Linked DNA regions of Cricetulus griseus. The protein of the gene in region 1 interacts with the protein of each later gene in a biochemical or structural test. Links are inferred from orthologs where the notes say so. Each region holds a gene or a part of one and is shown in the gene's direction. Other genes may lie near its edges.

What was found.
Region 2: of the proteins of Trim25 (region 1) and Ddx58, one has a biochemical effect on the other in vitro, tested with the Homo sapiens proteins (5 studies listed by BioGRID, with this or other methods). The link is inferred for Cricetulus griseus from reciprocal best matches to the Homo sapiens genes TRIM25 and RIGI.
Region 3: of the proteins of Trim25 (region 1) and Zc3hav1, one has a biochemical effect on the other in vitro, tested with the Homo sapiens proteins (2 studies listed by BioGRID). The link is inferred for Cricetulus griseus from reciprocal best matches to the Homo sapiens genes TRIM25 and ZC3HAV1.

What each region holds. Positions count from the first base shown.
Region 1 is NC_048600.1:102,145,988-102,149,640, forward strand, and holds part of Trim25 (E3 ubiquitin/ISG15 ligase TRIM25), read left to right. Parts: intron 1-2,807; coding exon 2,808-3,041; intron 3,042-3,653.
Region 2 is NC_048595.1:102,341,239-102,344,891, forward strand, and holds part of Ddx58 (antiviral innate immune response receptor RIG-I), read left to right. Parts: intron 1-2,762; coding exon 2,763-2,920; intron 2,921-3,653.
Region 3 is NW_023276806.1:189,850,563-189,854,215, forward strand, and holds part of Zc3hav1 (zinc finger CCCH-type antiviral protein 1), read left to right. Parts: intron 1-113; coding exon 114-244; intron 245-485; coding exon 486-619; intron 620-1,647; coding exon 1,648-1,916; 3' UTR 1,917-3,653.

The sequences.
Region 1 (3,653 bases):
TAACCACTGAGCCTTCTCTATGGTACCATATTACCTTTATATTGAAAGAAAGGAGCTGGAATTTTAAGAATACCATTGCTGAGATGCAGCAACTGTGCCTTCATTGATGGCTTCAGTTGTGTTGGTGGAGATGCAAGTTTCAACCCCCCCTACTCCCCCCCCCCCCGCCCGCCCCGAAACACACGCAAAGCAACCACAACTCCTCTGAGAAGATAGTGAGACCTACAGGGTGAAGGTAGAATTATGAATATTGGTTGGTTGGAGGGCAGGCTAACCTCCTAGGATTAGGATCCATTTAAATGCAAATCAATAAGGTGGTTCATTTTGTTCAGTTTAACAACCTAAGTCCACACAAGAGCAACTCTTGACCCTTAGCATGGCTTTGCTCCAAATGAACATTCCTACTGTCCCACTACTCCACAGTTTGATGCTCTCATGCCTTTGATTGAAGCTGGATTTTTTTTTTTAAGCCAAAGGCTATTATAGAAACTGGCTGTCAAGGCAGAAGGTACTGAAGAACAAAGATGCTGGCAGATCCAGGATTGCACAGGCTGTAATATATTAAGGATTTATTGGCAGAAGGATATGTTAAGTAGTAGCAAAACAAGAGGATCCCCCCGATCCCTGTGTCACAAGGCAGGAGGGAAGGGGTTTTTTTTTTGTGCTAAGATAGGCAAAGGTGGCCCATGGCCAACTGGAATGTACCTAGATTTTCTAAAATAATAATAATAACAACTATTAACATGTCATGTAGGGTTTGGGATTTGTGTTAGGGTCATATAGCAGTTACCACCAAGATGGCAGAATTCAGCCCAAACTGGGTCCTTACTCTGGGTCACCTTTACCTGTTTGCTCTAGCCTGGGAAAAGGGAAGCAAGATGGAAGATACCAACAACAAGCAACTTCCTCTTAAGCAATCAATGTGGTGTTGCACATACTACTTCTAGCCTTGCCTCACGGGAGGCAATTTAGCCACTTAGCCACCCTGGCTAAGCCCATTTGCAGGGTAGTCTGGGAAATGTAGTCTGAGAAGCTGTATACCCACTTGACACTCCTGGGGTGTTCTCTTACTAAAGAGCAAAAGAGGAAATGAACACTGAAGGACACTGGTGTTCACAGAGGAGGTAGTGGGAAGGGCTGGATGAGAGGCTCAGTGAAATGGCTCAGTGGGTAAAGGGGCTTGCTGCACAAGCCTGACAACCTGAGTTTGATCCCCAAGACCAGAGGAAGAGGAGAACCAACTCCTGAAAGTTGCCCTCTGACCTCCTGGGGGGAGTGTGCACACAACAACAAAATAATAGTGATTAATAATAAATGTAACAGTTTTTTAAAAGTTGAATTCCACTCTTTTGGTGTACAGTATTTGTGTTTGTCATGTTTGATTCTAAACTATTGAGGTTAACCAAGAAGTTTGTTCAAAACTACAACCTTTGAAGCAACACTGTCTACCAGAAACATTCCAGACATCTCTGATTTTCTTGTTTTGTTTTTATTTATTTATTTTTTCTGTGACAGGATTTCTCTGTGGCTTTGGAGGCTGTCCTGGAACTAGCTCTATAGACCAGGTTGGCCTCAAACTCACAGAGATCCACCTGCCTCTGCCTCCCAAGTGCTGGGATTAAAGGGGATACCACTGCTGTCTGGTATCAAGTCTTTGACATCCAGTGTCTACTAAGAGTCATGATAGATCTTTTCTTGAATTTGGCACATTTCAAATGCGCAGCAGCCACGTGGAACACTCAAAAAGAGAGTTCTAGGGAATAATCCTCTTCCGGAAGTTTTTGAAATTGTTTCATGCCTTCTTTTAAAAATTTACTAGGGGCCAGGCAGTGGTGGTGCATGCCTTTAATTCCAGCACTCAGGAGGCAGAGGCAGGTGGCTGTCTGTGAGTTACAGGCCAGCCAGGGCTACCCAGAGAAAGCCTGTCTTGAAAAATAAAATGTTATGTTAACGTCTGCAGTGTATCCCTCCCCGTTCCTAATTTATCATATTTATTCCCTAATCATTTATACCCTAAACACAAGCTCATTCATTCCCGTGTGTTTACATATTTATGCCTTTTTGTTTGTGCATGCATTCCTTGGTAGCAAACACCGCCATTCCCTCAGTGTCTAAGCTTTGTGTGAAAAGAATCACATAGCTTATGTGTTTTCCCTTGTGAGCTGGATCCACATGTACCTCCAGTTTATCGTTTAATGTCTCATCCTAGGATGGTTCTCAGTCTTTGCATCAAGTCTCTCCTGTACTTAGCTTCCCCACCCCCAGATAGCTCAAGTGTCCCTCCTGCCTCAGTCTCCAGAGGAACTGGAATAATAAATCTGTGCCACTGTGACCAGCTCACTTTTTGCTGTTTCAAACAATGATGCTTGTGAACAGTTGTCTCCCCCTCATCTCCCACCCCAGTTTGGAGACAAGGGTCACACATAACCCAAGCTGGCCTCAAGTATGCTATGAAGCCAAGGATGACCTTGAACTCTTGGTCCTCCTATCTCAGCCTCCCAAGTGTTGGGATTACAGTTGTGAGTCACCATACCTGGCTGTGCTTGTTAACATTCTTTTTGTTGTTTTGTTTGTTTGTTGAGAGTGGGTTTCTCTTTGTAGCCCTGGCTGTCCTGGAACTCACTCTGTAGACCAGGCTGGCCTTGAACTCAGAGATCTGCCTGCCTCTGCCTCCAGAGGCATGGCTGCCTAGAATGGTGCCATGAAGTGTCATACAGTTCCTGGTGCTCCCCTCTCTCCGACACACAGGAATGCGGCCTTAGCATTTTCACCCATCTGACAGGAGCCCCTTCATTTTTGCCTTGTAGGACTCTATGAACAGGAAAAAGGAACAACTGAGGCAAGAATATATGGAAATGAAGGCTATCCTTGATTCAGCGGAGACCAACTTGATGCGTAAGCTGAAGGAGGAGGAGAAGCGGATCCACGGAAAGCTGGACAGCATCTACCAGGTTCTTGCCAAGAAGAAGAGTGAGATGCAGAACCTGAAGGCGGAGGTTGAGCTCACCCTGTCCAAAGGGGACGAGTTTGAGTTTCTGGAGGTGAGTCGTGACGAGGGTGCTGCTGTGTGTGTGAATATCTCAGCGTTGATAGTAGTTTGGACCTCACAGAGTTGGGGCTGGAAGTGTCCCGGAGACACGCTGTATTTCTATGCTCTGCGATAGCTTACCTAAATTTGGGGCTTTGGAGAACATCTGATTATTGTCCCACAGTTCCCTTAGCTCAGTATCTGGGTGTGGCTCCCTGTTGTTGACAAGGCATCAATGGTCTAGCTTCAGGCTGGGCTGTTTTCCAAGCATACCTGACTACAGGCAGAGTTTAAGTTCCTTGGGGCTATAGATCAAGTGTACACTTTCTTACTGGCTGGCTGATGAGGCCTTCTTTCAACTTGGCATCATATGCTTCCTCAAGCCAGCAGGAACATTTCTCCCTCTATCTAGGAAGGCCCGCTTTCCTCTATTGAGGTCTTTTACCCAGTTAAGTATCCTGTCTGCCCCTCCCCCGGCAGGATAATCGCCCTCTTGATTAATTCTTTTATCTGGTTTGATGTCTTCCTTACTCCTGCGGTGTACCTCCTCTGTTCCTTGTAAGTTTGTTGTGCAGTAACAGCCTATCCCACCCGCCCTGTTGTGCTCAAGGAGATAGTTACGGAG
Region 2 (3,653 bases), on another chromosome or scaffold:
CTTTTAAAAAGATTTATTTTTATTTTTCTGTGTTTTTGTCTGCATGTATGTAAGTGCACCACATATGTAAGTTACATTGGAACTAGAGTTACAGACAGTTGTGGGCTGCACATCTGCAGGGAACTGAACCCATATTCTCTGGAAGAATAGCTGGTGCTCTTAACCACTGAGCTGTCTCTCTAGCTCCCGTTTCTGAGACAAGGTCTCTTTTTGTATCCCTGGTTGGCCTGAAACTTGCTATGTGAGTAGGCTGGCTTTGAACTTGCGGAGTCCTCTTTCTTCAGCCTCCTGAGTCCTGGGATTGCTAGCATGAACCACCATATCTGGCTCATATATACACTTCCTTAATTCCTGGTTATTTAGGTACCTTATAAGAATTCTTTCATTCTCTTTTGCTTTATTTTCTTTCTAAACCCAAAGTTGATCCATCTGGAAATACATATCTGAAAAATAGTCTTTTTAAATCATCTTCTAAATTTACTTTCTTCCTTCCCTCCTTCTTTCTTTCTTTCTTTCTTTCTTTCTTTCTTTCTTTCTTTCTTTCTTTCTTTCTTTCTTTTATTTTTGAGACAAGGTTTCTCTGTGGCTTTGGAACCTGTCCTGGAACCAGCTCTTATAGACCAGGCTGGTCTCGAACTCACAGAGATCCACCTGCCCCTGCCTCCAAAGTGCTGGGGCTAAAGGCGCGTGCCACCACCGCCCGGCTCTTTTCTTCTTTTGAGACAGAATCTCTGCATACAGTGCAGGCTAACCTTGAGCTGGGAACTTCCTGCCTCCTCCTCCCAAGGTGTATATCACCACTGGGACTCCATTAGATCTGCATTGATCCCGTCCAAGAGCAATGTCCCCAATTACCTAACATCCTCTCACTGAACTCAGCTCTTGAGAGTGTCACCATCTCCTAACCTCACCACACTGGGGACTAGCCTTTTGCCACATGAGCATCCTGAAGACACTTAAACAGTATGGAAGGACAGCGCTGGGAGAGGAGTTCAGGCAGTGAATCTATTAAAGGCCCTGAAGTAGTGGGGTAGCATGCTCTCTCCTCACAGTTTTCGGAACTTCTCTGTAGCTACTTGGTAGGGAATGGACTGAGAAAACAGGCAGGTGGTAAAAACACCAGTTAGGAGGGACATGGGTCACCCAGGAGCAGGATGACATGGTCTGACTAAAGTGATGAATGGACCGACGGGGATAGAATTGTGTCACGTTCTCTTTATCATTCCTCTCACTGTAGCTAACATCCACACTTCCGACTGCCCAAGTCCTGCTGATAACTCATTTCCTAGTAGCATAGAACACTTTCCCACCTCCTCACATCGAGTAACTGTTGGTAGCCACCTCATTTGTTCAGGAACTGGGAAAGCATCTCATTGTGAACTGGGTGTGATGGCACCATCTGTAAGGTTCTGAGTCTGAGGCCAGCCTGGGCTACATACTGAGACCCTGTCTGTGGGGTGGAGGCAGGGAAAAGCTCGACACTACCACCTGTTGGGTACCAGCCCTTTGTTCTACATTATGAAAATGAATGGGTGAGGGGAAACGTTTAACGCATAAGTGCAATTCTGGTCTTTGGATTTTGCTGTACTGTGATTGTCTCAAGAAGTCCAGGAGACTAAACTAGTAGACCAGACTGCTGTGGCCGTTCCCACTTCACCTTCTCCCTGTGCTGGCATCTCCTCAGAGTCTGAATCACTGTGGGCCCTGCATGTTTGAATCAAGCAGCTAGAGTTAGCTCCAGCTGTGCACACAGATGATCCAGGACAAACATCTCTGTGCTCTGCTGAGTGGTTGGTGCTGAGTGCTTCTCTGAGGTGAGGTCTCTGACCTCATAGGAAAGCAGAAAGGCTTTGTTGGGTACGGTGCTCCCATTTTTATATACCTGTCTCCGATGAAGCTCTTGAGGCCTACTATTCTAATGGTGTCTTTGGTTTTAAAGGCAAAGTTGTGTTTTTTTATTTTATTTTTTTAAGATTTACTTACAGTGTTTTGCCTGCACACCAGAAAAGGGCACCAGATCTCATTATAGATGGTTGTGAGCCACCATGTGGTTGCTGGGAATTGAACTCAGGACCTCTGGAAGAGCAGACAGTGCTCTTAACCTCTGAGCCATCTCTCCAGCCCGGGTTCTTTTTTTTTTTTTTTTAATTTCTGAATTACTTTGACTGTCAGTCCCTTAAGCTTGTAGAGCTCAGACACTACATAGCTGAGTTTGAATTCTTGCCATACCCACATTGTGTGACTTTGGGTAAATTACCTAGTTTTCCATTTGTAAAAGATTTATTTAAAAATTATGTGTATGTGCATATGACTGTGTGGGACGAGTGCTGTTGCTCCCAGGGGCCAGAAGAGAGCATTGAATCCCCTGGAACTGGATATACAGGTGGTTGGAAGCCACCCTACCTGAGTGCTGGGAACTGAACTGGGGTCCTCTGCAATAACCTAACTGCTGAGCCATCTCTCCATCCCCTTACTCGGTCCTTCTGAACCTGTTTCCTCTTTTTAAAATGAAATATTGACCTCATGAAATTAGAAAAAATTAAATGCAATTATGAATGTAAAAAACTTTGACTTTGGGTCATTTAGTAAATAATCATCTTACTTACACAATACAGCTGAAAACGCAGTCTACTTCAGGATAAATATCCTATTTATAATGAATAAGAAAGAAAATTAGAGGATGAGGCATGCCAGGACCAATCTTATTTATTTATTTATTTATTTATTTATTTATTTATTTATTTATTTATCTATCCCTCTAGGAAAGTTATTTCAAATTCAAAATAGAGAGTTCGGCACTCAGAAATACGAACAGTGGATTGTCGATGTTCACAAAGCATGCATGGTGTTTCAGATGGCGGACAAGGAGGAGGAAAGCAGGATTTGCAGAGTGCTTTTTCTGTACACGTCACACTTGAGGGTACATTGGCATTCTTTGGTCACTGCATCTCCTGGGATCTGCACTGTGGCAGCTGAGAGAACATTAGCTTCTCATCCTAGCCAAGAGCTTAATTAGGAACTTTCCATAAAGTCATCACCAACCTTGTTTTCTGAAACTTAACAGCATGTCTACAAAACTGGAACAGAGGCCCAGAGGCCTATGTCAAGCCTCCAGCCTTGCTTTATTAATGTGGTCGGGGAAAATTGGGTGATGATGAAACACATGATTGGAAACCACCATCTCTGACTTCAAGAAGTGGTTCCTGTTACCACATCCTGAAGCCTGTGTGGTCTTTACTTTGTTAAAGCCACATACTTAGATCCCTGGGGGCTCTGGTTAACACAGAAGAACGGAATAGCAGTAACAACTGTCACTCTGTTGTTAGGCTATGGGAAATATTTAAAGGCTTGTTCCATAGCATGCGTTTGCAGAATTTTAATGCTTAATGGACTTTTGCCATAGGTGGTAAGGGCCATCGTTCTGAAAGGTCCATGTACGATTTAGTTATGATGTCGGAATTTAAGGGGAATGTCAGCACCACAATGCGGCGTAATGTCAAAGCTGACTTGCTTTTACTATTGTTTCTTATGATACACTGTTTTTCCTTCTCTACCAAGGTGGAATTTTACAATACAAAGTGAATATACCTAACTAATATTTCTAGCTAACTGAAACAAACAAACAAACAAACAAAAAAAAAAAACAAACAGCT
Region 3 (3,653 bases), on another chromosome or scaffold:
GAACAGCAATGGTGTTCATGGCATGGGGGGGGAGGGTGGTGGCCACATGTGTGAACATAGCATGTTTTTAGTATTTCCTAGTTTACATTTAAGCATCTAATTTTTTTTTTCAGTTGGTAGAGCTTGATAGCCAGGATGTGGAATATGCCACGATAAGTGAACTTTTTAAAGCATCCATGAAATATTTCAAGATTGTATCGATAAAGAGGATATGGAATCAAGACCTCTGGGAAACTTTTGAAAGGTGACATAATCAGACCTTGTTTGGGACTGTGTAGTTAAAGTATACTAAGAGGGCTCATTTTATTTTCACATTTATTTGGTACTAGGGTGCGGGGCATGCATGCATGTCATAAGGCAACTTGCTGGAGTCATTGGGTCTGCCCACGTGGGTCCAGACGATTGAACCCAGGCTCTCATGCTCAGCGGCAGCCATCTTGCTGGCCCAGTTTCTTGGTACTGAATCTCACATTTCTGTATATTAGGAAGAAGCTGATGATGAAGAATGACAATGAGATGCTGCTGTTTCATGCAACATGCCGTGTTCATGTGGATTATATCTGTAGAAATAATTTCGACTGGATCATAAATGATAGTCGGGAGACCAAATATGGAAAAGGTTTGTGCTGGGCTAGAGACAGCCATGATTCCAGCTCCGCACATGCTTTTGTTGAGATGTTCTTGGCATTAGTTTGTAAACTTGCATGTCTGGGCTCTGGTGGCCCTGGAAGAAAAGAAGCTAAGTTACCTTCAGCCTGTGTTAGGACAGGTCTCTTGACTTGGGGGTGTGGGTGTTAGGCCTTGGCTCTAGGTCTTCGGTCTTGTTTCTCTCTGGGGACAACTGAAGGTCTTCATTCTTGTAAACTGCTCCATCTACTGGCTGTATTGTCTGCCGTTAGCACTTACTGGAGATGGCTCTTCCTGTCCTATGTCTGTGACTGCAGAGCTTTTCAAACTATCTTTCTGTTGTCACCAATGGATTCCAGTTAAGAATGGGAAGAGGGGCCGGGAGTTGGTGGGGCACGCCTTTAATCTCAGCACTGGGGAGACAGAGGCAGGCAGATCTCTGTGAATTTGAGGCCAGCCTGTTCTACAGAGCAAGGCCCCTTCTCATGTCAGCCACATTTTTATTTTTAAAGAGGTTTGCCCTCCTTTTTTTTTGTTGAGGAATCATTCACTCTTTGTGGGTGTTTGAGGAATGTGACGTAGTCAGACCCGGCAGCATAGTACAGTGTAGAATTCTGTGGCGGGGACCAGACCTGTCTCAGGGAAAAATAATACAAACTACCTGGGAATGGTGGCGCATGTTTTTAATCTCCGTACTTGGGAAGCAGAAGCAGGAAGATCGCTTGAGTTTGAGTTTAGCCTGGTTCACATAGAGAGTTCCAGGACAGCTAGCACTACCTAGCGAGACCTTGTCCTAGATAAAATAAAACAATGACAAACTGAGGTGCTGGGGACAACTAGGAAGGAGGGGGGTAGGTAGCAATGACAGCTGGAGCTATTGGTCACAGACAGGTGGTGGGATAGTAGTAAGTGTTATTGGCAGATGTTTTTCACCCATACCAATGTCTGCTTCTCTGTATCCCGTTATAACCTATACTCATTGATAAATAACAATTTACCACTTTTTCTGGTTATTTCTAGGAAATTACTTTGCAAAAGAAGCCATGTATTCCCACAAGAATTGTTCATATGAGGCCAAAAACATTGTTATGCTTGTCGCCCGAGTCTTGGCTGGAAATTCCATTGAAGGAAATATGAGATACAGTAGCGCTCCCGCCCTCTATGACAGCTGTGTGGATAGCAGGTTGAATCCCTCGGTCTTTGTCATCTTCCAGAAAGAGCAGATTTACCCAGCGTATGTGATTGAGTACACGGAGCTAGAGAAAGAGAAAGCCTGCATAATTAGTTAGAAAACGATGTATACTGCCGCGTCGAAGCCTTTATGTTGACTTCTAGGACCAAACCATCCCCAGACAGTAGTTAGACTTTTGCATTTCCTTGCTACATTACCTAACGTCTTAAATCAGCCATTCTCAAACTTCTCTCCAGATTCACAGTCCCTGGCCAGGCAGTTTTTTTGTAAAAATTGCCCCCATGACTCCAGCATTTTGAAAAGATTTCGTTGTCTTACATTCCTAGTGAGGCTGGTTTCTAAATTGTCTGTAATCTTATCTTTCCCATCTACTCTTTGTTTTTATTGTGTATGTAGGTAGCATTGTTTCGGTTTCGCTTAATTTGAACTGGATATTAGTTTGAGAAATTTGAGAGACATGTAATAATGTTTATGGAAATAGGGACATATAAGAAGACATTGCAGCTTTGAGTAGAAAACTTGCTGAGGAAAAAAGTTTAAAGGTTAAATTTAAACGATATTGAGACACAAAAGCAGTACGCAATACTATATATTACCATGCGATGAAACTGACCTGAGGAACACATTTCTGTCTCTCTGCATTTACTTAGAAGACAGACTCCATGGAGTTGACTCTGAAATACAGTGATAAGCACCCCTAAGTATAGTTCAGAAGCAACTAACTGGAGTTAATTGTCCATTGAGGCTCTTGGTATCCGAGTTCTAATTCATGTGATTACAGAGGATGCTTCTTGCAGGCTTTTGTGTAATCATCCGGATTTTTTTAGTAAGATTAAGTTGCAGTACTGATAAAACCTAGTGTTATTGGGATTTGTGTACAGTGACAGAAGGGTTGTCAGAAGCCAGGAAAGGCCTTCCCTGTTGGAAGGGCCTTGTAAGGAGGCAAGACTGGTTTGTTGGTGAGCGCAAAGCAGTGCAGAGAAAGCAGTGTCCCACATAGACCTTTACTGTTAGCCACATCTTTTTGAAAGCATAGTGGGTGTGGGTTTTTTAGAGCATTTAGGACGCCCGGACCAATTTTTTTTCCTTGCTTACTGTGTACAGATCAGGTCCTTCCTTCCAACCTCCCTTTCTCAACGTTCTGTCCCAGTTGCCAGAGTTTCCTGGCATATTTTTTCCTTTCCTGTTACATTTTCTTCCAGCAGACATGTTCATCGTTAATGGGCATTTGATCAGATTTTTCATCAGTTGCTTTACTTTGAAAGTCTCCAATAATGATATATTGAGAATTTTTTAGAGTGGGATTCTTGTCATTCATTGCCACAATTTTTCTTTTTTAATTCACTGATTTTTCTTTTCTTTTTCTCACGTGGTATCTTCTATTTTGGAATACTCATTCTCTGACATAGACTTCATACTGTAGACACGTAGTGCATCTAACTACTTGGCAAGCTAACTTCTAGTTGGATATTTACCTGCCATCTCCAGTTCAACAGGCTCAAAATGGAACACTCTATTTGCCTGCTTCAAAGTGATTCACCCCCAAAGATTCACCTGCCCCAACCCCATAAACAGTATCACTTGCTCCCTGATACACAAGCAGAAAGCTAGAATTCCTCCCAGGCTCCTAGCTTCCCCCAGTCTGAGTCGTTCCTAAGCCCATTCTGAAGCACCTAGTTCAATTCTGTGGGTCTCAGTGAACTGTTCTGTCGGGGTTCCCACCCCTCCCCGCACAAGCAATATCTGTTTTAATCTCTAAAGTGCAATTCAGACATATATTCTCCATATAACTCCATTAATTAAAAAAAGTTAATATAATTTAAGAGGGAAATAC